Coturnix japonica: one gene and its partners. The protein of the gene in region 2 interacts with the protein of the main gene of each other region in a biochemical or structural test. Links are inferred from orthologs where the notes say so. Each region holds a gene or a part of one and is shown on either strand. Other genes may lie near its edges.

What was found.
Region 1: the proteins of LRRK1 (region 2) and GPBP1L1 form a complex in vitro, tested with the Homo sapiens proteins (2 studies listed by BioGRID and IntAct, with this or other methods). The link is inferred for Coturnix japonica from reciprocal best matches to the Homo sapiens genes LRRK1 and GPBP1L1.
Region 3: the proteins of LRRK1 (region 2) and BAG3 form a complex in vitro, tested with the Homo sapiens proteins (2 studies listed by BioGRID and IntAct, with this or other methods). The link is inferred for Coturnix japonica from reciprocal best matches to the Homo sapiens genes LRRK1 and BAG3.
Region 4: the proteins of LRRK1 (region 2) and GNAZ form a complex in vitro, tested with the Homo sapiens proteins (2 studies listed by BioGRID and IntAct, with this or other methods). The link is inferred for Coturnix japonica from reciprocal best matches to the Homo sapiens genes LRRK1 and GNAZ.
Region 5: the proteins of LRRK1 (region 2) and GAK form a complex in vitro, tested with the Homo sapiens proteins (2 studies listed by BioGRID and IntAct, with this or other methods). The link is inferred for Coturnix japonica from reciprocal best matches to the Homo sapiens genes LRRK1 and GAK.
Region 6: the proteins of LRRK1 (region 2) and SNX9 form a complex in vitro, tested with the Homo sapiens proteins (2 studies listed by BioGRID and IntAct, with this or other methods). The link is inferred for Coturnix japonica from reciprocal best matches to the Homo sapiens genes LRRK1 and SNX9.
Region 7: the proteins of LRRK1 (region 2) and CLVS1 form a complex in vitro, tested with the Homo sapiens proteins (2 studies listed by BioGRID and IntAct, with this or other methods). The link is inferred for Coturnix japonica from reciprocal best matches to the Homo sapiens genes LRRK1 and CLVS1.

Annotation. Positions count from the first base shown.
Region 1 is NC_029523.1:18,790,943-18,794,442, forward strand, and holds part of GPBP1L1 (vasculin-like protein 1), read right to left. Parts: coding exon 3,362-3,500; intron 721-3,361; coding exon 580-720; intron 1-579. UniProt on the Homo sapiens protein: Possible transcription factor.
Region 2 is NC_029525.1:15,890,719-15,894,218, reverse strand, and holds part of LRRK1 (leucine-rich repeat serine/threonine-protein kinase 1), read right to left. Parts: intron 3,353-3,500; coding exon 3,235-3,352; intron 2,133-3,234; coding exon 2,016-2,132; intron 1-2,015.
Region 3 is NC_029521.1:26,988,814-26,993,054, reverse strand, and holds the start of BAG3 (BAG family molecular chaperone regulator 3), read right to left. Parts: upstream 2,801-4,241; 5' UTR 2,728-2,800; coding exon 2,557-2,727; intron 1-2,556. UniProt on the Homo sapiens protein: Co-chaperone and adapter protein that connects different classes of molecular chaperones including heat shock proteins 70 (HSP70s), e.g. HSPA1A/HSP70 or HSPA8/HSC70, and small heat shock proteins (sHSPs), e.g. HSPB8.
Region 4 is NC_029530.1:7,728,883-7,732,998, forward strand, and holds the start of GNAZ (guanine nucleotide-binding protein G(z) subunit alpha), read right to left. Parts: upstream 2,801-4,116; 5' UTR 2,597-2,800; intron 2,532-2,596; exon of another isoform or gene 2,418-2,531; intron 1-2,417. UniProt on the Homo sapiens protein: Guanine nucleotide-binding proteins (G proteins) are involved as modulators or transducers in various transmembrane signaling systems.
Region 5 is NC_029547.1:47,310,664-47,314,163, forward strand, and holds part of GAK (cyclin-G-associated kinase), read right to left. Parts: intron 2,347-3,500; coding exon 2,152-2,346; intron 1,131-2,151; coding exon 1,013-1,130; intron 1-1,012. UniProt on the Homo sapiens protein: Associates with cyclin G and CDK5. Seems to act as an auxilin homolog that is involved in the uncoating of clathrin-coated vesicles by Hsc70 in non-neuronal cells. Expression oscillates slightly during the cell cycle, peaking at G1.
Region 6 is NC_029518.1:46,765,417-46,769,425, reverse strand, and holds the start of SNX9 (sorting nexin-9), read right to left. Parts: upstream 2,801-4,009; 5' UTR 2,691-2,800; coding exon 2,679-2,690; intron 1-2,678. UniProt on the Homo sapiens protein: Involved in endocytosis and intracellular vesicle trafficking, both during interphase and at the end of mitosis. Required for efficient progress through mitosis and cytokinesis. Required for normal formation of the cleavage furrow at the end of mitosis.
Region 7 is NC_029517.1:102,420,068-102,424,192, reverse strand, and holds the start of CLVS1 (clavesin-1), read right to left. Parts: upstream 2,801-4,125; 5' UTR 2,634-2,800; intron 890-2,633; 5' UTR 836-889; intron 1-835.

The DNA of each region.
Region 1 (3,500 bases), on a different chromosome or scaffold from region 2:
TACCAGTGAAGTGTTAAGTAATTTACATTTGGAGATTCTCTCCACACATCAGAAACACACAGACCAGAAATGGAGGTAAGCCAGCCTTATCCTCAGCAGATTACCTCCTACCAACACTAAAAACAGGCATGAAGCTGAACCCCTCAGAGCTCATTGCTTGTGCTGTTGTTTTCCTACAGAAAAGAAGCAAGGCAGATCACTTTCACTTTCTTTTCCTATAAAGTACTTAAGAACAGCATGGGAATCAGCCTATCTTTCAGTGCACATCTTTTCTTGGTATCTGCAGTCCTGCAAGTCCATGCGTGTCTAACAACACAAGGCTATTAAGTATGAGGTTTTTCATTTTTAAATTGGGAAGAAATTCTAGTATGTTTGGGTAAATGCTAATGGCAACAGCTTTACAACCAGATCACTTGAGAGCATCAAAGATGCACTAAAGATGTGCTAAGAATGTACAAGTGAGACATAATTCAGGGGTACAAAGCTAGGTATCACATGCAGGAAAGATTTTATTTTGTTGAAGCTACAGTAGGTGACAGTGATAAAATTCCTTTCTTACACCCAAACCCCATTTCTTACCTCTTTGGGAGAGGTGAGGACTGAGCCACTTGCCAGTACCGCTGGTTTGGTTACAGACACTGGACTGGTAAAGGCAGAGTCACGGCTGGAGGAAAGCGAGCCTGGCTTGTGTTCATTTCTGTTGGCTTTCCATGGACTTGGCTATGTTGAAAAGAACACAAAAGACAAGAAGTGGTAAGACACTACAATGGGTTGGTTGCAAGCAGAAAAGCAAAAACAGTTCACCTCTAAATACATTATTTTTCCCCATTATCATCTCCTGTTTCCTCCAAGGCACAGCAAGTTCTGCTTCACAGGCATGACCCCCTAATAAGAAAATGCAGTTGGAGCCTAAGGAGAAAATCCAGCACTGCTCTTCATCAACTGGAATCACCACTGAGAGAATCAGTGCATCTTGCAGCTAGCATCAGATAGGAAACAAAGATCCCAATTAAACCCATGTTTCATATAGGAATGCTGTTCGTCACACAGAAAAGTTCTGCCTCACTTGACAGGAACTTCCCCTGTGCAAGAAAGCAGCACCTCAAGGAATCTTTCTGTCCAAGCCGAGAATGTAAATTTCCTTAGGGCTCTGGAAGTGTCCATCACTGCACTGATTTAGCCAATAAAAGTAATAGAAAATTGGCAGTTTAATGCAGTGGATGAGCACTGTACCTACCTACTGTTTTGCTCTGGATACTCTCTGCAATGTCCCTTAGATACAATGGCAGTCTGGCTGAAAAGCAAAGCCTTCAAGATAACACTTTGTTACTTGGAATTTTGTTCTTGGGCCTGTCTCGTCAGCCAAGGACAAACACTGAAGTGGCAGCTTTTATTACAGTAACGCTAACAAAGGACTCGAATCAGGCAGTGTAAAAAATACATTTGTCAAAGCATTAAGGCATAACAGTTCCTTTGAACAATTGTGTTTCTGAAGCCAACTTGATAGCAAAATAATTCATGCATGGTGTGATTAAGCTGTATCTGACATTAAATAGATCTTGTATCCGTGAGCAATGAAAGCAGAAGCCATAATTTCACTATGATCTCTCTCTCCATTGGGCTATTTTATTCCTTTTAAAATAAATGCATCACCAGAGGAGACCATCATTCCATTCTCATTAATAGCCTTCCACACCAACTTTAGAAGTAGTCTACAGCGCTGAATAAATAATTCAGCACTCATACCAGATTCCAAACATGTATTTGAAACCCAGAAAAGACTCTGGTCTCCAAAATATTGCCTGTAGTAAGTTTCTTAGGAGCAGAGAATCAATTTAACAAGAAGCTTCCCTCTGCATATTCACATGGATGCACTCGTTCAGGTACCTGGCTCTGGGCTGCTAATTGTCATTCTCCCACCTTCCACAAAGTGGCAGCTTACACAAATTCAAACTCTGATCACTGCTACTTTCTTAGAGACTGCTGGATTCAAGGGCAACAGCTACAGCTGAGCATCAAAAGGAATCGCCTGCATATTATGACCTTCACTCACTGCTCACCTGTGAACAATTCCGCCACATCTAAAGGAAGAATGTGCTTCCATCACTGCCACCGTGTTCTCCTCCTCTGGTACAGCTAACAAGCATATTTCATCCAGTTTGCCTCTGACAGCTTTCCAGTACTGCTGACTTTGTCAAAAGGAACGTTCTGACTCCTCTAATGCTTTATGCACTACAACTTCCACACAACCTTCTGGAGCCTTCAGAATAATGTAGCCTACCACAGCTCCTTTCTGTCTCTACCTTTAAAAGAAGGCATCATGAACACAGGTTTTCTACCTAAGGATGAGCAGATCTCCACCTTTAGCTCTATCAGTGGTCGTCATTCACTAACACACAAGCTGTTGATGAGACAGCACACAGTTCCTAGTTGTTGAAATCCCCACCAGTGAGCAGCATCATACTCCCTCTACAACCACAGCACGGTGTCAATGCATGCACACTTCATGACTGGAGAACACAACTTATATCACAATTAACATGACTGTGATCTCCTGGGAGCTGCCACACATCACGAGTCAATACCTGCTCTACCAGCCCAGTTATCAGCATTGTCTCATCTATGGTAAGGATTCAGGTACAATCCACACCTAGTAATTGTTCTGAATGGAATATCCTGGAATATACCAAAGGAAAGTGAGGCAGCTACTGTAACATATGGCCATAATTCTGAATTAGATATAGACGTATAAGCTAGAACACAAGCAGGGAAGATGTCAAAACTCAAAATCCCCCCCTAAAACAAACCTTGCATTTTTAGCATTAGTTCAACTTTCACACCACAGTCACAAGACCGTCTCCAAAAGCCTGATCATACTCCTTAAATTATCTATGAAAATAAGAGGCTTTGTTCCAACTGTGGGCACAGATTACTGTATTTTTGTTTGTTTGTTTCAATAAAGAATTAAAATGTAAAGGGTAATTTCAGAGAACAGTTTGAGAAGTTTTGAGAGCAGCTCTGCTAGACTGAATTAACAGAAAAACTTCTGCAAAGGGTTTTACAAGTAATGAAAACAAAATGCAACAGCAACAACACAGCGAGAACTAACAGCTATGAAAATATTTATGTTTGACTTCCACAATTTCAAGGCAATGGGTCTACATGCAGCAGCACAGCAGACCTTTATACAGCTTTCAGAAGTACATTTCAATCTCTTAAGCTCTACTGCTGGTACAGTGCTAGTTTTCAAACCTCACAATTATCTTTTCACACAAAAATAACAACAGCTAAGTTAGAAAAGCTGTATGTGCTCCTTTTCCATTGATCTACAGTTCACTGACTTGGCTGGAAAACCTCGTACCTTGGAAGGAGGAGCTGCAGGTTTAGGAACCAGATTTTTGTAGACACTTGGGACAATGGTGGTGGCTTTGTTACCATTTGCCAGGTGAGAAACAGGTGATGTAAATGCAGCTGAGAAGGCAGCAGCAGGATCCTCTTTT
Region 2 (3,500 bases):
CAAGGAGCAGGTTAAAACCAAAAATGGCCTCGGTCACCTCCTCCCTCCTTCCCACAAGGTCTGGCGCTGCTGGCACTGAGTACTGCAGCCTTTAAATGCAGCTTTTGTTTTCATCTGTTCCAGGTTGCTGCAGGAGGCTGGAGGCTCGCACCCATACACATCTCTCTCTCCCCCAGAAACCACACAACAAAAAAGCTCAAATTGTACAAAACTTTTCCTTGGCGGGTGAGATTTGGATCCTGGGCCCCTCTCTGCTGCCTTGAAGTTTCCATGATGCTTCCTTTGGATGAGAAACTGAGTTTTGGAAATTGTTTCTTTTGGATCAGCCTTCCCAAGGCAGTCATAAAGAATTCCCCTTCCCAGCAACATCCCTCAGCAGCTCTCTGACTGCGAGTTACCTCACATCTCAACAGCTGAAGGCTTTCTACCCAGGGAAACGAGAGCAATTCTTCCCTGCACCAGGCAATAATTACCATGTGATAACTCAGATACAACTCGCTGTGCTGTACAGTGAGTTTGACAAGTGTAAGCTTTCCGCTTTGTTTTATGGGAAGAACTGGCTGCTTCAAAAAAATGGCTTAGTTTCTTGCCAGCCTGGTCTGCACATCCCCACGGCTGCTGCTCTGGCTGTTTCACTGCCAAATTCATTCATAGAAAGGAGAGAGGAAAAAGTAAGTGCAATAAAGCAAGGAGAGCAGCAAAGGGATGTGGATTGCTGGAAGGTTGGGTAGGGTCGGGGGAGGAAGGGAGGTGTCTAGACTCAATATTACTATTGTAGAGCCTGGCATTATTTATGACATTTTCTAGGCAAGCCACAAACTGAAAATAGAAACCAGGAGACATAAAGCCACTCGTAACCCCTAAGGAATGGCTTTGCAAGCTGTGTGACAGTGGAAAAGCTGAAAAGCAAAAAGACTCGTTCGACTATCCTGGACAAAACCTCAGGCAGCACGAAAAAGAAATTTGCCCTACACGTCAGAAATGAAACTGCACAGTGGAGAAACACTGCAGACGTGGGAGCCAAAGAAAGCCAAGAGGCGGCTGAAACTCGTCCCTCCGCCAACTTCAGCTCTGTGCCCTTCTTCAGTCCTCCTCACACCATGTTTGGAAGTCAAGTGGTACACCTTACACTAACCATCCGCCCTGGATGCAGACAGCAGTCTGAGCAGACCAGCCAGAAATGGACAACAACGGGAACAGACACGCGGTATAAAACAGCTCCACGGCTGCCATGAGAGCTGCTCCGTGTTGAGCTTTTAGCCTTAGACAGCCCACTGGCATCTGCAAAAACTTCATGGTCACCATTAACGTTGGAGTATAATTATGTGTTTTCACTCGAGGTGCTGTAGACAAACCGGAGGTAATTTAGCCCAGAGCAGTTTTTGTACATCCCTCAGCCCTGCCCGCAATAGGCAGTAATGTCAGATTCCTCTTGCCAGTAATTGGATGGTAGTAGTTTCACAACCAGCTAGATAGCATACAGCGTTTTATTAGTCATAGGTGGCAGCTCATAGACTGCATTTATGACCTAAGCATTTTCATCCAAAACCAGAAAGAAGTGTAGGTAATACTGTGCACACAAACAACAGCATGCACACGTGCCAGGGAAAGAGTGAGAGCAGGAGCCAGAGTATACCCAAGCCCTGCATTAACAGTTAACAAATCTCTATACTAATTACTCATTCACATCCCCTCGACCTTGCTTGATCAGCCTAAACCTTGCCATGCAGTGATGTGGAAACACGGCTGGAAAACTTCCTTGCATGGGAATTTGATCTGTTTGGACTATTATCCTGGCAGAGTTTGCAGTGCCAGCTCCGGTCCCTTGATGCAGGTTCATGCCTACACCTCTGCCCCTCACTCTGCTGGTAGAGACACCAAGAGCCAAACCCACCTTCCTGCACTACCAAACACAGCAAACACCTTTGATGCTGGCTGGTGACAAGTGGCACAAGCCTTCTAGCCTGGCTTCACTAACACACCCTTCTCAAGCTGGAGCTAGGATTCCCCCATACCTTTTTGATAACAGGAATCACCAGGAAGCAGCTGACAGCAGCAGGAGAGTCCAAACCCTTCTGCGGGGCCTTCAGAGGACACATGCCCTGCAGCCTGTACACTGAGATCTTCTGGTCCTGTGGAAGAACACACCAAATTCAATGAATTTCCTTTGCTTCTCATGATTTTTACCCTTTGATAACTGAATCCCAAACAGTTTTTATTTGTATATTTTCCTACGCAAAGCCTGGATTTCCCTTTGTTTTCTCTGGAGGCCATTAGCCTATGGGTAGAACCTGGGGGCTGCCCTCCCCAGAACCAACTGTGACCCAAAGCCAACTAAACTCAGCACTCCAGCTGTTACAGCAGTGTATCTGAAACCAGCATTGGTAACCCCAACTCTGAACAAACCATGAATGTGTCAGGACAACTGAGATACGTTTTGTGCTCTTTAGCATTCACCCATCGGTTCAGACTAATAATACTGGAGTTACAAGGAATATGTGAACCCTGCCTCAATTTGAGTGGATAGAAAAGTCAAATACCTTATTTATCAACATGGGAAAAAGATACACACCTTCACTCCATTCCAGCTTCCATACTCCAGCCATGTGAATTCACCAACATGGATTACTTATTCTGCACACGTGGCCTCCTGCCCCTCAACCCCGAAACTGAACTTTGGGAACATTCCCATTTGTTTCATCTATGTTTTGTTTGCTTTGTGTCAAATGGTTGTGCAGAACAGGCTGACACTTAACACAGCCCTTTCTGATGGGCGGATACAGGCTCAGAGATAAGCCAGCCATGCTCTCCCACTCTTATCTTTTCAGCTGTGGTTTTCCATGGTGAACGCTGCACTTGGGTGCCCATTTCCCACCAGATTCCAAATCCCTCGGCCCTGTTTTACAACCCCACCCACAATGCATGGTTTCTTTCACTGCTCCCATTTATCACTCAGAGATAAGGATATTTCCCAGACGGAACCACTGGGTGCAGATATGCCCCAACTGGAGCAGTTTCACCTCGGGCAGCCGAGATTCCCATGACTGCTCTGAACACAAGGAGACACAACCGTGCTCTAAGTGTCAGCCAAACAGCATGCAGCACCAACACCCCATGAGGCAGCAGGTGCTCAGCTCTGTTGTCTCCAGCACTCTTAGTTCTATTGACTGAAGAGGCCATAGGTTTCCATGCCTTGCGAGGAGGAGCACTTGAGCAGGGTACAGACGGCCTTACCTCCGTAGCAGCCCAGAGTGTGTTCTGAAATTTCAGCTGGCAGCACAGCTTCATGCCGGGGCAGCTCATCCTCTCCACTTCTATGACCCCTTTTTCTGGATTCACCACCGTGTAGTTTCTGAAAAGAACAAACAATTGGCTGCAGCCAGCCTCCAACCTGTGATAGGGCACTTCTGGCTGAGCCACAGCGTGATGCAGACGGTGCTGCAGGGCTCTCCAAAGGGTTCTCATAAAGGAAAAGACATAAAGACACAGCCCAGCTCTTC
Region 3 (4,241 bases), on a different chromosome or scaffold from region 2:
GGTACAGTTAATGCAGTCAGCATGGTTACACTGCTGGCAAATCTAGAGCAGGAAGATCAAGATGAGCTGTAGGGGAAATGCAGCACCTTGCCATGCCACAGCCTGTTTGATCAGCTAAAAGAAGTCAGTCAGCTTTGGACCTGCGCTCTGCTCTCTGAGCAACAGCTCATGTTCTACCTATATCTCTGTGAAGAGGGAATATTTGGAGAGAGAACAAGGATTTATAAAGAGAATAAGGATTTATAGAGACTAACATAAAAGGGATCAACAAAATCACTGATTTCATCAGTACAGTCAGTACAACTTTGCCTGTGTTTTCATCCTTAATGAGACATGGTCTGACACAAGGTTGGCTTCTGCAGTTCTCTGATCACTCCTGATCACTCTCACTGAAGGCAGACTAAGAAGGAGGGAACTGAGAACTCAACCTTCCAATACTATCCCTGGAAGTATTTCTCTGTGACCAGTCCCAAAGCTGTTCCTGCTTGTAGTGAGCGGTGACAGGTGTTTCTGTTTGGAAAACAAGTGAATTCCACAAAAAGAGCTGAAAAGAGGCACAGCTCTTTCTGCCTGTAGTAACACTTCCAAGTTGGCAGGAGAGGAGCCACTTTTTATTACCACAGATTTAACATCAGATAGGGATGAAAACTTGTTTTGTTTCAGTCACCCACTCAAAACCAGCACTGATCCATTAGAGCACTTCAAAACCTGTTTTTTATACAATTATCAAATGCAGCTTAAATGTGATTTCTCCCTTAAACGAGTTACTTTCAAGTGCTATTTCCATAACAAAAGCCTTGAATAAATGCATGCTTTTCGACTTGACTATGCTTTATGGCTCTAAAAAGCATATTTTTATTGCCATAACAGCCCATGTTAGTAGGTGTCTCATTACCACTAGGAAGTCAGTAGCCAAAAATGAGTTAAAGCACTTTTCCCTATTGTACTCTCAACATTCACATCACCAAACTACATCAAACAAGATCTACCATTACTGCCAGAACTATATAATCAATAATTGAGTGGAAAAAGGGGGTGAAAGGCTATGTTGTAACTGGCACAATGCATTTCTTCCATTCCAAACAGCACTTTGTATCTGTGAGTGCAACTGCACAACATCACTTGGCTGGAGCAGTGGGGAGAAGGAGAAGCACAGCCCCTTCACTTCTGTGTGAGCTCTGTCTGCTTTCACACTGAGCTGATCTGCGCTCATAAAATGGGCAATTCAATGTAAGAACTTAATGTTTCTCAAAATGCTCTTTTGCGCTTTAATCCTTTAAGACTCCTTGGGTGGGGAGGGGAATAAAAACTGTATCAGTTACATCGAAGATACATTTTGGAGTTACTGAGTATCTTCCACTGGCTCCACGTGAGCCACGTGCCACACCAGAGGCTGCTTTTCCCAGGGAAGGGGCTCTGCCTAAGATGGCAGCCCCGATTCCTCCCAGCACTGCCGGCTCTCCCCGACAGGACGGCGAAGCAATGGCCACAGTCAGCGCTCGCTGGGCCGCGTCACCGTGATCAAAGCACTTGGAGGCTGCCAGCTCCACGCGCACCACGTCCAGGGAGCAGCTGGGCTGTTCCAGCTGACTTGCAGCAGGACGGAGCCGGGCCTGGCAGCTGAGAGCCGGCGCTGGGCTCGGGGCCAGCCGTGGCTCCGCACAGTCCAAGCGATCCCTTCCAGCACCGCTCCGAGCAGCGGCGGCCAGGGTCCAGCACGGAGCGATCCTGGGCCTCGTCCTAACGGCGGCAACGGGCGACATTTTAGGTCGCAAGGACGGACAGAAATCCTCCACAGGAGCCGCGATATTATGCTTCATCATTGCCCATTTTATGGGGTTGCAGAACTAAAGGCGAAGCCGCGAGGTTGGCCGTACCCGGGCTGAAAGAAAGCAGCGTTGCTTGCAGAGAAATGCAAGAAAACCCCCCAGGATTTGTTTTTCCACCACTCTGGCAACTCGCGGTGCAGCTCAAGTTTCCAGCACTTTCTTTTCAGTCACCGCGTTAATACTAAGGCGGGTCACACGGCGCAACTTCTGAAGGCTCAGAGTTGGGCTCCGAAAAGCCACTTTGCGGGTCCCACCGGCTCCCAGCCGCTGCCCGCAGCCATGGACATATTAGGACTGAGATGCAGCTTTTCTCTGAGCGCACTTACAGACACAACACAACGAAGTGACGGAGTATGGAACGAGACCAAGACAACAAAAAACCCTAAAACTCTTGACAAGTCTGAGCCGCGTCACTTTGAAGCTCTGTACGTCGCCTCGGCTCATTTGCAGCCGAAAAAAACCCATCCCAGCCTTCCCCGGGCCGGCCGGGTTCACTTCACCAACTTTAAATAAACACCCCGGAGCCGAGGTATCGGATGATTTAATGCACAAAAAAGGGACTGCAGTGCGTCAGAGACAAAAGGCAGCTCCTGGCCTCACTGCATTGCCACGCGCTGAGCCGCAGCCTGGCCCCGGCAGCCCCCAGCCCAGCGCCGGGCCCCCACCTCCCTCCAACCCCCCCCCCCACCCCCTGCCCCATAGCGCAGCCCCGCACCCCCCGCCGTACTTTGGCCGCGTCGCCCCGCAGACGCGGGTCGCTCCAGGTGGTGGTTCGGCTGTTGTGGTCCACGAAGAAAGGCCAGCCCGTCTGCGGGTCCACCTTGATCTCCCAGCCGGGCGGCAGCGGCTCGGAGCCGCTCTCCGTTTGGAGCAGCGGGGAGTGCGTGGCAGCGCTCATGCCGGATCCGGGCCATGCGCCGAGTGCGGGGCGGGGAGGCCGGGCCCGGCCGCTTTATCCGCCGCGGGGAGCGGGGGGGCGGAGGCGCGGGGCTGGAAGTGTCTGGAAATCGGCGCCGGCCGGCGGAGGAGGGGAAAGGGGAGGGACGGGGAGGAGGGAGGCGGCCGAGCCCGGCCCGGCTGGAAACTTCTGGTGGCCTCCAGTGTGGTGCGGGGTTATGGCAGGGAGACCCGGCTGGGACAGACGAGCTGGGTGCGGGCTGGGGGAGCAGCGCCGAGTGCCTGAATGTCCCCGCTCTGACACCGCTCTGACAGCGCTCTGACACCGTCTGACACCGCTCTGACAGCTCCTGCTCCGAGCCGGTGATTCTGCGATTCTGGTCCAACGGAACGAGAAGCCAGGAACTTCGTCCTTTCTGATGGGTTAAGGTTATGTGTGTCCAGCCCTGGCAAACAGCACAAATAATGTCTGTTTCAGAGTTGCAGTGTGGACAGGCACTGTACTTCAGAATCGACTCTTTGATCGTGTCTCAGCCTTTGGATTCACTGATGCTGGCAAACATCTGAATGTAGAGTGTCTGTGTGAGCACCAGCCTGTCCCCCATCTCTGAGTGCTGGCAGTGGGTTACACCACTTGGCAGCGAGCACCTGCAGCCATCTGACAGATCCACTTGGCCCCAGGCGCCTATTGACAGTTATTTACCCTGCAGAGTCAATGCCGAGCCCCTGAAGAGCAGACATTGTCTGCTGCAAAGCTGCTTGCTCCGAAGAGGTTGAGGTGTGCATTCGTTCATTACCCACGTGCCTCATTTCAGAGGAGCTGCCTGTGCACACCCTGGGGATGGTCAGAACCTTGTCAGCTCAGGGCAGGGTCACAGATTGGGCTGACGCTGATTGACACTGACACTCATCCATCCTCTGACAGTGGGGTTTGTTTATTGCGACAATTGCTCAGCCTTGTTCCTTCCTTAGAGCCATAGAATATCCCAATTTGGAAGTATTTGATGTGAGGACACAGCATTGCAATGCAGAGCAGGAGAACCCCTTTCCTCGCCTGGCCAGCAGTGCTGGGCCTGATAAACCCCAGGTACAGCTGCCCTTCCCACAGCCCTCCCATCTTTGCCTTTGCAATATTTGTCTCAAGGATCTCTTTGTTTGAAAAGCTTTGTTTTGCTGTAGCTGATAGCCACATACTTAGCAGAGTTAATAAAAAAGCTGGAAATAAGAGGAAAATTCAGGGTAGTAGCTAAGAGACATAAGTTAAATGTGGCTGTGAGTTTGTGCCTTGCTGAGAAACAGGTCAGGAAATCTCACCAAAATTATCATGGTCTGATAGGTCAGAATTTGCCCAAGCTTCTTCTGCAGGAGCAGATCCTGTGGCTGCAGTATCATGCGGAGATGAGCATGGACTGAGAAGGGAAGGCATCTGAGTGATTGATTTTATTTGGCTGGATATTGTGCTTTTCCTCTTAATTAAATTCTTGTCCGTGCTAGGTAGACTTTAGCCTCTTGTAG
Region 4 (4,116 bases), on a different chromosome or scaffold from region 2:
TGCAGACTTAATGAAGGTACGCTCCATCCCCTCATCCAAATCATCACAAAAGATATTTAAACAGAATAAGCCCCAATACCTGCCTCTAGGAAACACCACTTGTGACTCGTGGTTAAACGATTAATACTTTGATAAACTGATAACTCATAAGTTAGAGTTTGTGACTCCAGGAAATTCTTAGTGAATTTGTCATTGAGACAGTGACCTTACTGAAATCTGCTATAAAACTGTTCAACACTGTTGATCCTAAAGGGCATGGGAGAATCTGATCAGTGAAAAGCTGCGTGCTCATATTGAGCCGGGACTGTCCGACTGACAGCAGGAACAAAACTTCCAGCAAGTCCCATGGAAGCAGGACCAAATCATTACACAGAGTTAGTGAGATTCAACTCTCATTTTCAGTTACATAAATCTGGAGAACATCTTCTGAAATAAGTGGAATTATGGTGATTTAGCCCAAAAGAATTGAGAGCAATTTTCTTTAATTAGGTGGTAGGGGGGGAAGAGATATAACTCCTTTACGTTACCTCATTGCTACGTATCAACCAAGGCTCTATCTGCTGTCAAAATCATTATCTGCTTAAGTTGGAGAGGAAAAGCTGACTTCACCATTTAAGGATTTAAGCTTTTATTTTCTGTTGTCCTTATCCCTCTGCTTATCCCCTTCCCCACATCTCAGCAGGTAGATTCCCTTCAGATGAAGGGCCACATTTCTTTTTTCTGCTTCAGTCTAGATTTCTTAATATCTAATATACTTTTTCCATTAACGTGTAATCCAAACCGAGACAACCTGAACACTTTCACTTCGCTCTGCCAGAACTATTTTTCTAGTTATTTTTAGAATATCATAGTTAAATTCAAGCCCAAGGCCTGTAGCTGAAACAGCAAACTGCACCAAAAGCCTGATACATCTGATTTCAAGGCAGTAGTGCCTCCCAAAGAGCCAGCTCTGTCACCAGCAGTCAGTGGAGTTATGAGAACATAATCCTCAGACAAGGTGGCACATTCTTCATGCAGCAGAATTTATTCACCTCCATAAGGCCCACAGCCAGAATGAAATCTGCGGCCTCACGTGGAATCAGTCAACCTTTCTGAGGGCATGCATATGCACACACAAGTACGGGTCTTTGAAAATGCACGTCCATGCTTTAGTAATAGAAGAAAGGAGATTTTATCCTAAATACCCCCATATATCTGAGATGTTTTCTTTTGATTTCATTCATCACTGGCTTCCAGAAGAATGAAATTTCACTCTTCTGTACACGTAGGCCTACGCTGGAACGGTGTCCTCTACCCAAGGACAGGGATCTGTGCTTTTGGGGAAGAGCTTCCAGTCTAACCATTTGATGAAGACAGCTAAGTTAAAGGCAAACACCTTCCTGTTCTGCAGAGCTCTATCCCTGCACCTGTGTCGCTTCAGGCGGCAAATATGTGCCTTGCTGCAGAAAAGCCACTATTTTTATCTGTACCAGCACTTAAGCCATCAACGTGGATTACAAATTCTCCATCCATCAAGTCAGAAACAGTTTTCCCTGTGGAAGCACAGGGTACACCCTCATTTTGACTACATGATCCACAAGTAGGCATCCACAGCACCATGGTTCTGCTTGACCTGCCGTGCAACCCCTGCAGAAGACATTCCAGTGGCCACTCAAAGGGTGTGACCCACAACGGCACAAAACAGAGCCAGAATAAAAACCAAATCGGAGCCACGTTTGTACCAGCAAATGGATGTAAAGGGAGCTGAATGGAAAAGCAATGAGGTGGTCTCAAATCTCACCCAGGAAAACATAGCTGAGATAGGTCAGCAGCCTCCTGAGCAAATGCTGCAAGAACACATTAAGCAGCTCCTACAGGGAAACAGCAAAAAAACCACTCAGCTCAGTGCTACAGCCAGAAAAATATACACTTGTCTGTAGATCTACATGCTAACTGAAGCATTGGGTGCGTATGGATCTCTCACTCGAAATGCAGATACAAACAGACCATGGAACTTGTGGCTCGGCACCTCAGACGGAGCCATGCACAGGTGCGGATTGATGCTATAACGCCTCCCGATGCCTCGCATGAACGAACGCGGACGAGGCAGAGCAGCCTCGCAACAAGCAGCCGCGGCTGCAGGACTCGCTGCAGACCCCCAGCAACCGGAGGTTTGCAACTGCAAAACCCCCGGGGAGCAGAGCCGTGCGGGGAGGGTCCTCTCCCAAAGGCACAACCGAATGGAATCGGTACCGGAGCGCTGCGGCTCGGGGCAGCTCGGATGCTGGCTCTGGGGTCCGGGCTAGGAAGGGCGATGCCTGAGTTTGATGGAAAGGGCTTCAGCTGAAGCACAGCCGCCCAGGGAAGGTCATTTTAGCCGTAGCGGCAGCAGCCCAACCCTTGCGATTTTTCTTCTGCAACCAGCAAAATATTCCTACCTCACGGTGACGACCATCCCTTCCATCACCGAACTACCGCCGTTCGTTTCAAGATCGCATCTATTCCTTTCCCCCCGCAGAACCCCCTTTTCATTCTGGAAACGTAAGAGGGAAACGCTCCTCGCGGAGCTGACGGAGAAGGAGAAGGAGGAGGGAAGCAGAAGGCAGCACGCACTCACCTCGGCGCCGGGCCGGCAGCCTCCACCGCCTCAATCCATCTCCGCAGCCCCGCACTGCTCCTCCCGCGGCCTTCTCGCAGCTGCCCGGTCTCCCAGCAGCAGACGGACGCTGCCCTCCCTCCTCTCCGGTCTCGCAGCCCCTCGCTCCGCCCGATGCCGCAATACCGACGCCCGCCGGCGGCCCGCGGAGGCAGCGGCGCGGGGCGGTCCCGCCGGGAGCCGGGCGGGGGACGCGGGGCCGGCTGCGGGAGGCGGAGGCAGCAGCGCGTTGCCACGCCAACGAGCGGAGGATGGCAAGGGGGGGCGGGCGGCCGAGCCCTGTAACCCTCCAACCCCTCCAACCCCTCCCGTCCTGGGTGACAGCGGCGGACGGGCGGCTCCGCTCCGTGTTGCGTAAGGAGCGCGCACGGGGCAGCTCCCCGAGGAGAACAAGGCAGCGGTCGGGGTGCCGCATGTGTGTCAGAGTGATGCAATGAAGGGCAGAGGGCAAAGCCGGCTCGTGCCGCGGGATCTGCCTTCATTCCGCTGTTAACATCTTTCGGTTGATTTCGGTGCCGGGCATTTTCTCTTTCCATCTTTCGCTTCTACGTGTGACGCTCGCTGCAGCTTTATTTAAGTGATACCAAGTACCATTTTCTCTTATGTCACGGATGGAGCTACCTGTTCCTACATATCTTTCCTTTTAGCCGTGCAGGCTGCAGCCCTGCTCACACAGCTGCGATTTCTCCCTACAGTGCGATTTCATAACCGGAATCTATTACTGATACGTTTCTGCTGGAGACAGCAACGGAGGCTCCCAGGCAGAGACAGAGCAGGGGCATGTTTCCCACAGCGAGGCTACCATGATGCAGCACAGCAAACATCTGATTCCTGTCATTAACGCCGCTTGCAGGGCTGATCCATCAGCACAACTGCAGCATCAATGAGCTACAGGAATGAAATATTTTAGTGTAAAAATGCAACGTAGCAGCATTAGTTTTCTTGCACTGAAATAAGAACCATGAATCAGTGTAGCACGTGAGTCCTATGCGTAATGAACCTCAGGGTTCTTACCAACAGTTTGTCCATGCACCTGGGCTGGTGATGTGACTCAGAGCATCAAAAGATAAATGTCCTATACGTGACCAGCGCTGTTTTCTCAGCAAAACTGTAATCTTCAAATCATAAACTTGCCAGCTTAATAAAACAAACAACCAGCTTTTAATCTCTCCAGCTTTACCTTTCAGTATCCAGCAATGCACGTTTATGCTTTGATGCATTGATACGATCAGGCAGCAGTGACTGTCTAAATTCTAATGGTGCTCTGTGTCTCTCAGTCGTTCTGCAGTGCACGAAGCTCTGCCATAGTTCTGTTGGCAGGGGAATAAAGAGGGATAAAGCAGTGTAGCTGTGGTAACTGCCTGAGTACTCTGGATAATGGGATGAAAGAACAATAACAAGGTGTACAGGTTTAATCTGCTGCTCCATAAAGAACAAGTAGTTACTATAGAAACTGTCATATTACACGTGTCTCCAGCATA
Region 5 (3,500 bases), on a different chromosome or scaffold from region 2:
CCAATTAGTGAATAATTGCCAGAAAAAAAATCCCAATAAATAGATGTTAATGTTATTAGCCATGAAACTGACGCTGAGGCTGAACTAAAACAAGCTAACTTAGGCTGAATTTTTCACCCACCTCCAATCTCTGCAAATGATTTTGTATTCCTACACATAAAGTTAAAGGAAAAATGTAGAGAAATGTTTCTATTGCAGTAATAACTTGTCTGTCCCATGTGTTTTCCAGCTGTAGTACTGACTGAAATCCTCTGGATCAATTCCCACAATGCTCCAGGTTATCTTAAGCTTCCCACTGCACCTTTCTATCTTTTACAACAGGTTTAATTTCTGAGAGAAGCCTAGGATTCGTTTTTAGTGATGCAAAGACAGAGTTTGTTTCCAAGTTGCTGTTTTTTGTTATCTTCTAATAAATTAGCTTTTTTCTTTTTTGTATTAAAAGTGAAACACGCACTATTTCTGGAAGAGTGCGTAAGACCAGTAAGAAAATAGGCTATAAAACTTAACCTGGCTCTAGGAATAGGGTACAATAGTAGAAACTTTTTTTTTTAATTAAAAAGACTGTTCCATATGAACAGTCCCTGGCACTCCACTTCCATACTGAGCAGCATTTTTCCTTTGGTTGTGTTGAAGCTTGTTTATACAGTATTAAGAAGTTCTGTCCTACTGTACACCTTTCTGGATGAGATTGGATAAGTTTACAAAATGGCTACAGACTCTCCCCCACAAATGTAGTAACTACCACCGCAAATCTGATTTCTAGAAATTCTTACCAACAGAGATCAATATCACAACAATATCACAACAGAGAGCGTTATGAAGAAAATGGACATATATATTCAGGCCTGTTAAAGCAAATTCCCAAGTACAAGAACATATCATACACTTATTTGAACAACAAAAAAAGGAGTAAATAAAGTTATGTACTTACTGAGATTCCAAATACACCTACAACACACACTGAACAAAGGAAAAACAAGCCCTTGACACAGGCTGTTAAATTTGCCATTACCTTGGCTTGTAGTCGGCCTCCTAGTGTTGACCTGGCATGATAGATGGCAATGAGAACATCTCCTTGAACTGTTATACCCAATGGAATTACTGCTTTCCCATCTTCAATTTTAAACTCCCTGAGGAAAAAGCATATCCTCTGTTAGTCTTGATTCAGCGATATAATCTGCATTTCCTTATGTTTAATTTGCTTTCTCCAAGACCTTTAACACCAACCTATGAATTCCACACAAAATTCTTACTGTCAACAAAGGGATTCACTCTAAGTAACTTAAAAAAACCCCAAACAAACAAAAACCTGCTCTAAAAGCCAGCAGCTAGCAAACAGCAGCCACCCACGGCAGGGGAGACATGTTTTGAAGAAGCTGCTGGAAAATACAAGAGCACAGCTAGAGAAAAGGACAAGACAAACAGGGTATCGTGAATATGACTGTTCCAAGGAAAGGTGCAAAGAAACTGCAGCTGTCCTACGTCATGATACTGCTACTACTAAGGATTCTCACTTAGGAACAAAGGTAGGAATAAAGAAGGTGAAAATACCCCACAGCAGTTTCATTCTCACTCTTTTCAAGTTTCAAGCTCTTTACTGGGCTTAAAATTACCAGAAATATAGGAGGACTTGGGTATTCTCCCATCTTTCCTCCGTGACTGTTACACAGAATTGCTCAGCATCGTTTGCACTTGCAGTGATGCACTGCAACTGAAGAGCTGTACTTTCCTTAGATCTCCTACAGCTGATGGATGCTCCATGTTTTTTATGGCAGCACTGTGAAGTTCAGTTTCAGTGGTGCTGGTATATCCCCCCAGCAACTACATGCAAAATAGGAAGACTGATCCCTGCAGGACAATACATAAAGGTCTTGTTCCATTCTTCCTCCTAAAGCCCACAGTGCAATATGTCACCTTGCTGTCGCTCACCCATTCTGTGGAGATACCTCCATGCTTCTACTATAGCCACATGATTTTTTTTTAAATAACCATGATTTACCTTTCAAAATAAACTAAAATGGAACATAGGAGCTTTTCCAGAAGCTTCATGATCAATTGGCACATCCAAAGCTGTATTTCTCCTCATAGTAAAGACCTACTTAACTCACTACAGGAAAACAAAACATACAGTTCTCCATAACCTCTACTTACTTCATTTTGTCATATTCTTGGGAGGTAGTGGTTACTCTCTCATCCCCTATATAAACTTCACAAAAAGGCCTGCAGCCATTACGCTGCTTGCTGAAAAGAGGAACTGGTGTCATGATGATGGATCTGATCAGGATTGGCTTGCTGTGAGGAATAATGGGCTCTTCAGCCATCATGTCGCACATGTATTCAATGTATCTGTCAAAAGCAAGAAATAACCATTAAACAAAAGAATCAAATTCTACACTTGGGTACACAGCTTACTTTTGTTAATACTGTGCCACTGAGCAGTAAAAAACAACAACAAAACATTGAGAACATTTAACAGCACTGCTGGGAAACACAGTTTTTCAAAATCTGATACAGTACCACAAAAGGAGAACTAAATAGAAACACGGACAAATATTAATGATCCTTGACTGGTCTTTCTAAATAAGGACAGAAACACAATTCCTGAACAAAGGCACAATGGCTGCACTACAACAATATTAAACACAGAAAACTCAATACTGTCCCATGCCAAAAATCATCTGTACCTGTGTTCTACCTCACAGACAACTCTAGTCTCTGCCTTGGATAACAATTACCTAACAACTACCCACTTGTAAAACAAACTAGCCACTCTTTCCAAAAGCCTCATTTACAGTATCCCAGTAGGAAAACAATCTACATTTTACACAAAATGAATTAAAGTTACAAGAGTTCTGAAGCTAGCTACTCCGAGCTTCCTAACAGCACTTTACAGTCTGGGCTGTAACACAACCATGCCCTAGCTGAGTTTCTGATCTTGAGGAATAATGTCCTGCCAAAAAGATGTCAAGATCCTGGATGAGATCTGGGAAACTGTCTTTAGGGACCCAGAAACAGAACAGAGATGGCAACTCCTTAAGGACAAGAGCTCTCCATCCCCCAGCAATTCTCTTGCTAAGACAGGTTGAGGTAGCTTGGCTTGTTTTCAGCGTGGAGAAGGAATGGCTTCAGTGAGACCTCTCTGAGGCCCTCCAGTATTTAATAGAGCTAATAGACATGGCAGGAACCATCTTTTTACATCATCCAATAACAAAGAAAAGGATTTGGGGGTGTTTATTGATGAAAGACCCAACATGAGCTGGCAGTGTGTACTTGCAGCCCAGAAGGCCAACCCTATCCTGGACTGTATCAGTAGAAACATGATCAGCAGGTCAAGGGAGGTGATTCTGCCCCTCTACTCATGAGAACCCATCTAGAGTACTGCACCAATTGTGGGACCTGCAACACAAGAAGGATACTGAGCTGATGGAGTGACTGTAGCGGGGGGCCATGAAAATGATCAGAGGGCTGGAGCACCTCACCTACAAGGACAGACTGAGAGA
Region 6 (4,009 bases), on a different chromosome or scaffold from region 2:
CGCTTGCACCGAACCTTTTGCAACTGCTCCAAGCAAACTTTTACCTACTTCAATAGATGGAACTGCAAAAAACTTTTCCACTGCTCTCCCTCAGTTAATCTTTTGCTATTCTAGCGAGTCATAGTCACTCAAGGACAGGCCTGACAAGCATTAGTGTCAACACAGGATCAGCACAAGGAGGTAGCAGTGACTGTGAGGCCAGCTCCCACCATCACACTGAATCCCCACAGCCCTCAGAGGGCGTGGGGCCTACATAGTATCCCTGCCCAGCTGCCGGTTAACTAATACACCAGCAGAGCATCAATAAAGGGGTTTTGTTTGTTTGTTTTCATGAAAATAGTAGTTATTCCCCCAGAAAGTTTTAGTATTTCAATAAGAATTCTCATGAGTTTAAATGGTGCAGGGAAGAGCTAGGAGACTATGAGATTAAACCACATCTTCAGAGCACTCTGGGAACTTAAACAGCAGGGTTTATCACGGTGGAAGGCAATAAGATTGGTCAGAGTTCACAAATTACGGAAGAAATGCCATTTTCTCCTCGTAAAGCACATTCTAGTTTAAACAAGAGTTAGTACAGGAAGCACTAACAGCCTGTGCAGTGCTGGCCATGCCTGACTGCCACTCATCCCCACCAGCTCTACAGCTTGTCACGCCATGGACGCTTCTGAAATTCACACCCCAGGTGACCAGTCACAGCTCCGTTTTGTCAACATTTTCTTGTATAATTCTGATATCCTTCAGAAAGAGAACAAGTGGAAGGTGGCAAATCTGTCTGCAGCTTCAAAAGGAAAACAATTTCCAGGTGAAATGGGAACTTGTTAGTTGGCGGAGTTCCTGAAGACAGTTTACTGAGCCTGTCACTCCCTTACTCCATTAAAAAAAGGCATCCTTTATTATAGCTGACATTTGAACGAGTTCAGCAAATTAAAATCCAAAGTAGGAGAATTAGCTGAAAGGGACCTAACTCATGGGTGAAGCTTAAAATAAAGCAAGCTTCTCTTCAGTAAAGCTTTGTTAACAGCTAATTGAGATAATAATATCAAAAAGAAATGTCAAGCCTTCACTATCACTTCCCAAATTTAACATACAAGTCAATTACTATGTCTTGCAAAGCGCTGAATGAAAAAAAATCTTGCACCACCTGATTTCAATACAGTTCTGGCTACTATGACATGTCCTTCGTTCTAAGGCCGTAATGACCACAACCATTTATTTGACAAAAAGTGAAAACATCCATATGTATGGATAAAACAGTGTTATGAGACTCCATGAGGGCAGATGCTACAGCTCAAAGTGAGGTAAAAAGAAAACATAAAGCATTTGAACTCGGTGTTTGCTCAGTAGACCATGTGTTATGCTTTACATCCACACCTGTCATTTTCTTTTTATTGCTACCTGCAGTAGTTACGTGTGCTTACACGTGGTTCAGGCACACGGCCCACAAATCAGTGGAAACCACCCACAACAAAACTAAGTCCATTAATGATATTCTAAAAACCTGTACAGGTCATAAATTTCACTTATATTGATACTTCTTCAATTGCATTAATGATGTTGAAGCTTACACCATTTCTTCGGTGCATGTGAAAAGGCTTAGTGAGTTACCCTCTGCTCGGATGGCTGGAGGCTGCTATTTAGCCATCAAATCCTACACACTGAAGATGAGGGAACTCTCTGATACTGAGAAATGCCACAAGAGCAGCGTGCTGTATGACAGGTGCCTCAGTAAAACATTGTTTGCATGGCTGGGCAAGTTTTGGAATCGAATCAGTTTGAAAGCATTACTTCAAATACCAAAAAGCCTCGTGTGATATTCAGACAGCTTGTAAATGATGTTTACCCATCTACACGAGCAGAGACAAAACAGCACTGCCACCTTCATCAACAAGTAGAGTAAATAAGTATTGTCAATTTAGAAAGAGATCGGTTTCAGACAGGATGGGCTAATTCCGACTGTTGCATTCATAGCAGATAGATACTGTTGAAGAACAAAGCAAAACAATTTCACTTCCTTCTTTTTCTTTTCCCACTCAATCAGACCCTAATACTCCTAGAGCAGGACACACACCGCAGCCCTGGAGAGCTGCCCCGGCCCTCACGGCCTTCCCAACCCGCAGCTTTCTGTGCGGAGCAGCACGCAGCCCCCCGCCCCTCGGTTCGGCCGCTGCCGCACACCAGCCGTGCCCGCCGCAGCGCTCGGAGCACCCGCATCCCCCGGTGGGGCTCGGGAAGAGCAGCAGGGACGGCGGGCCCAGCAGCGCGCAGGCCTTCCTTCCCTCCGCACCGCCCGGCAGCCACGGGACAGGGGTACGGGGCGGCACCGGCCCGGCCTCGAGCAGCTTTCCGCCCTCGCAGCCACGCCGGGCGAGGCGAGGGGCGGAAATCCAGCAGAAAACAACTTCGGATCGGACGCTGCCCCCTACGAACCCCACGCGGGGCCGGGCGGCGGCGAGGCCCGAGCGCGGCGCGACGCGGCGGCAGCCCCCTCCTCCCCTCCCGGCGGCGAGGGGCAGGCCCGGGGAGGGGACTCGCTCCCCAGACCCCATAACGCAGCCCTCCTTCTCTCCCTCACTGCCCAGCGGAGCTACCGCCGCCGACCCCACCGCGGGGCCCGCTCGAAGCAGGGGGCGCCCCGGAGCCGCCCCTTCGCCCCCCGCGCGGTGCCGGGGTCCGCTCACCTTGGTGGCCATGGCGCCGCCGCTGCAGGCTCGGCTGCCGCTCTGCCCTCCCCGCCGCGGCCCGCGGCTGCTCGCTCGCCGCGTCCGGCCCGCCCGCCGCCGCTGGGCCGCGCAGGCGGCTCCTCCTCACCTCCCCCGGTCGCCGCCGCCGCCTGGGGGCCGCTGGGCGGCTCAGCAGCCGGCCCGGCGCTGGGCAGGCGGCTGCTGCTGGTGTGGCGGCGAGGCCGTGCCCCCTCCCCGCAGCCCCCGCACCCCGGCGCTTTGCCCCCCCGCCCCGTCGCCGTGAGGGCTGGAGGGGGAGGGGGAACCCCGGGGGAGCCGCCCCGGCCAGGCCCCAAGGGCGGGCGAGTCCCCATCCCCCGGCCCCGTGAAGCCTTCGCGTTTCTGTCGGCTTTTGCCTCAAATTCGTATTCCTGGAGCGGGGCGGCTCCGGGCCTGTGGAGTGCCCGCGGTGTCGACCACGCGGGCAACCCTGCTCCGGCCACTGAAAAGCTCACAGAACTCTTTCGTTATCTGTTTGGTGTCGTTATCCCTCGGTTCCCTCTACACAAAGATTCTAAACAGCGAGGAGACGAATATCCCCTCTGCCGGGCTCATTCTGCTGCTTTCACAGAGGCGTGTGTTTCAACACTGGTGCTGCCGGGCCTTGATGCACGGCAGCAGGGATGCAGCCTCAAGAATCCACAGAATCACAGAATCACAGAATGACCCGGGTTGGAAGGGACCTCAAGGATCATGTAGTTCCAACCCCCCTGCCTGGCAGGGCCACCGAACATACACATTTACTAGATCAGGTTGCCCAGGGCCCCATCCAACCTGGTCTTGAACACCTCCAAGGACGGGGCATCCACAACCTCCCTGGGCATCCAGCCAGGGGCTGTGCCATTGCTGTCAGACACTGTGCCAACATCTCACAAAGAATAAGACATCTTACTCAATTTCCAGCCTTGGGGAAGGTGTGATGGAGGACCACAACAAAGGCTGAGGAGGAAATCTGGTGGCAACAGTTATAGAGAGGTTCACAGACCACATGAAACCCACCTCTGCCATGTGCACCTGGTGTCTTATTGGGAGAAATCTGGCATTTTTGAAGCCAGAAAATGGAAACTTCTAGGTGAAAGAGTGGAACTTATTAATGACTGCTTGTATGCATCCCTTCTTCATTTAAGCTGTTGGGATAGAGATTCTAGACAGAAGTGCCATCTAAAGTTTGCCACAGTTTAAAGGTGGCATAGCTGTGTCCACAGTGCTAGCAAGGAAAAAGGGCCTGGGACTGATTTCTGATTGCAGTAAATCACTTGTGTCCACCCTGCTTAGGATTACTTTGGCTA
Region 7 (4,125 bases), on a different chromosome or scaffold from region 2:
GAAGTTTAATGCAATTTGATAATACCTTGTGCATTCAAACATACTAAAATTAAGAAGTTTATTTCTACAAATCCTATTAACAATAATAAAAAAAGAGCTTTTAGAAATTCTTAGGCAAATTCCTAAAAGCAGTAATAATATCAACATGTAAAGGATTTATATATATCTGCCATAAACTATGTGAAATATTGCTCAGTGAATTTTCCCTTCCATAAAAGACTGATGTTCCTACCTATTTCTTATTATCTGGTTGTCCCATTATGCTTGTTTATATGCTATATACCACATCTGTGGGATAGGAGGGAAAATAACACTAATTTGCCAAATATTAGCAGAAGTACTTCAGTAGCTCCTCATTTAGATAAAAAACAAAGCTGTGCTTATGCTCCTTAGTTTGCAGGGAATACTCTTTTTATGAGGCTGATAACTTGTATTCTCACTGACAGGGCCCTCTTTAGAAATACAATGAAGCTGTTGTTACATATTTTGTTGCAATGCTTTCCATGTTCAAAGCACAGAGTTTATGGAATTATGGCTCGTTGTGATGGGGCTGATTCTGCAGTCCCTCTATTGCCAACTGCACTGCTTACGCCTACTCCGTAGCTCTCTGTGTTACTCGGCATAAGAGAATCTGGGTCTCTGCACCAGATGTGGTCAGAAATGATGAAATAGTAAGGCAAGAATGGCAAGGTTTTAGAACAAGTTATGTTATTGTTTTGCATATATCTTACAAGAGTCTAATCTTTAGAGAAATTCTCAATGCTTTGCAAATCCGGATGAGTCAACCACATTCTGAAGATAATCAGTGACATCACATAGCAGATACTTAACAGACCTGACTGTGCTGACAACATGAGCTGTCCATACGAACTTCATCGTGGGGTACAGACTGCAAAGCAGGGAAAGATCTATGTGGTCATCTGATTTATCACTACACAAAAAAAAGAAAATCCTTACCTTTGCTATACAATACTTGACATAATACTGTTACATAATCTGTCATTTAGATGTTGGCATTGCATTAACTTTTCTTACTGGAGAAAATCCGTGTTACCGTCTGATTACTCAGAAAGCACATGAAAGCAGCCTTTCTGTAATTTAATTTTTCTTTCCAAATACAATCCAGTCACTGTTTAGTGATGGACAACAACTAACCATCTGCCTCTTAACTTCATTATTCCTGGAGCTTGTTTAGATTTAGGAATCAGCATTTTTAAACTGAAAGCTCCTTTCTTCCTATGACCTTCTTCAACCCCCCTTCACCCTCACCAGGATTATACCATTGCAGGCATAATTAAAGTCAAATCAGTAGCATGCATGGGGATTCTCCAGCAGTTATTTTCTTTGTATTTATTTTCTGCATTAAACCCTCCTTGAAAACACTTGCTGCTTGCAAAACCAAAACTTAGTTCTTGACTCCCTCCAGCAAAGGGTTCATGGGGTAAGCATGATTCACCCTACTTCTTCACTGCAGACATTATTCATTACTGTTTGCCTCTGGTAAAGCTGAACATTTGACTAATCCTGAACATTTTCCCTTCCTTTAATCTCTCATCCCCTTCTGGTTTGAATGTACCTGGTCAAAACAGGGATCAATTTGTTGAGAAGCAACAGTCTCTGCTTGTACTTCTATCACCCTGTACTTAGTTAGGGTCTCAGCAAATTAACTCCCAGTTTTAACCCTCCCCTCTCCATTCCTCTCACTTCTCATCTGCTCTGAAATTGGACGTAGTCTTTCCTTTCCATCTTGCTACTCTTGTCCCCTGCCTTGATCAGTTTCTGGGGATTAAGTAGCTTTTTTTTTTTTTTTTTTTTTCCTAGTTCTCATAGCCTCCTCCAGAGCTGATGATGAAGAAGCAGGCCGTTAGGAGGCGGAAATGGTATGAAAGAAAGGAAACAGAAATATGGGCTGGGAGGAAAGGAGGCAGGGAAGCAAATCAAGGAGGAGAGTAGATCGGAGAGGCAGAAAGCAAGAAGGCAGAAAGCAGAAAGGCAGGGCAATAAGGACAGGAGGCAAAAGAGACAGTGTAGGTGGGAGTCAGAAAGCAGGGAGTGGATGGGATTCAGGAGAGGAAAGGGAGGTAAGGAAGTAGGGCAGGCAGGGCAGGGCAGGTATCAGACAGGGACGAGATGCAGGGCAGATAGGGAGCAAGGGAGGGAGGAAGAGAGGCAGGACAGGCAGCTTAGGGAGATGGAGGAGGCAGGGAACAGGGAAACAAGGCAGGCAAGGGAGGCAAGCTGTGGAGGCAGGAGACAAGGAGATGGCAGTGAGCAGTGGAATGAGGCAGGCAGGCAGAGGAAAAACGGGCAGAAAAGGCAGGAGAGGCAAGAAGCAGGAGGCAGGGCAGGCAAGGAAAAGGGCAGATCGAGAGGCAGGCAGGGTGTAGGGCAGGTAGGCAGGGTGTAGGGCAGGTAGGCAGGGTGTAGGGCAGGTAGGCAGCAGGCAGGAGCAGGGCAGGGCCGGGAAGGGAGCAGGCAGGGAGAGGCCCCGGCCCGCAGCGCGGCGGGGCTGCGGCCGGAGCTGTCCGCCCAGCGGTGCTGAAAAGCCGCAGCCCGGGCCCGGAGGCGCGGGGGAGGGACGGGAGAGAGGAGAGCCGCCCTGCCGCAACCCGAGAAAAGACAAATCCAAATACCTGCACAGAGCCAGGCAGCCTGCCTCGGGGCGGCGGGGGGCTGCGTGGGATGTTTGGGGTTTTTTTTCCCCCTGTAGGTGTCCTTGCCGTTGAGCTGGGTGGGTGAGAAAGATCTCCCGGCTCCTAGGTTCAGGCTCAGATCTCTCTAGAAAACTGTGAATGAGCGAGCGCCAGCTCCACGGGGCTAGGATTTTTTTTTTTTTTTTTTTTTTTTTCGGTAGGAGGCGTGTGCACCAAAGCCTGGGTCCTTCCACTCGGAGGCTGCCGTCCCCCTGGGTCCTAAGCCCTCCTGCCGCCTGCCCGACTGCCTCCCGGAGCTCCAGGCTCTCCCATGCTGCGGGATCGGTGCGCCGCAACCGCCGGGGGAGTGGTGACAAAGGAGCCGCGGGCTGCTGACAGTCGGGGAAGCAACAGCACAGCCCGTCCCCGAGAGCTTAGTGCGGGCTTTCACCTGGTGGCATGGTCTTCGCTGACGTTATTTCTCGCATCGCCTCTTTCGAGACAAACTCTGGGAGAGCACAACCTCCTGCGGCATTTACAGCAGCCACAGAAAGGGTAATCTTCATGCATTATAGATGGTCTGTCTTAACGAACATGGCAGCCTGGGTTTGTAAGAGAAGTTCTTCTGGGTCAGACTACAGGTACACCTAGCTCAGGACACTAATAGCAGCCACAGAGAATGTCTAGTGAAGAATATAAGAACAGATAAGTGCTCTCTCAGCCCCTCTCCCAAACACTTTTATGCTCAAGGACTTTCCCCATCAATACTGTGTCTGTTTTTAGGACAATTTTCTTGTCCTTGAGCTCTTTCAGTCTCTTCTAGAACAGCTATACATTTCAAAACCACTATTCCAAGATATCTTTGCAAGGATTTGTAAGCTTTGTCTAGTCCTGTGGAAATTACAAGAGATAACTTCTTTCAGTTGGTTCTGAAAATTTATTTCTGTATGAGCTTCTTAAGAGCTATGCTAGGAAGCTGTACATGAAAGACTTTAATGCCCTTAGCAAATAAAATTTACATTCTACTGCTCATATAAACACAGTTAGACCAATCAAAGGTAACTGTGAAATGCATTTCTTCCTCTGCTTCTTATGTATACAATTCCTGGAAAAAAGTGACTTAAGACAACTGACTCTTGGTCTCTTTGCTTTGGACAAATCTCCTGTGTGAGTTACTGAAGGATCTCACGTAGTGAAACACTGGGTGATAATGAGCAATGATGATAAAAATATGGATCAACCTCTTCATAAGAAGTGACTAAGCATAGTAGAATTCTTCAGTGCGCAAAAAAAAAAAAAAAAAAGAAAAAAAAAAAAGAAATGAGTAACTGTGGTTATAAGTTTTTCATCATTTATTAAGGGTGAACAGCATAAGGAAGATAAATTAGAATGATATCTCACTATCTCTTTCCATTCAAGGAATAGGAAAAAGGAAACCTACTATATCTAGCTTTGAAAGGACATAATTTTCACAAAGGGTTTAGTGAATTTG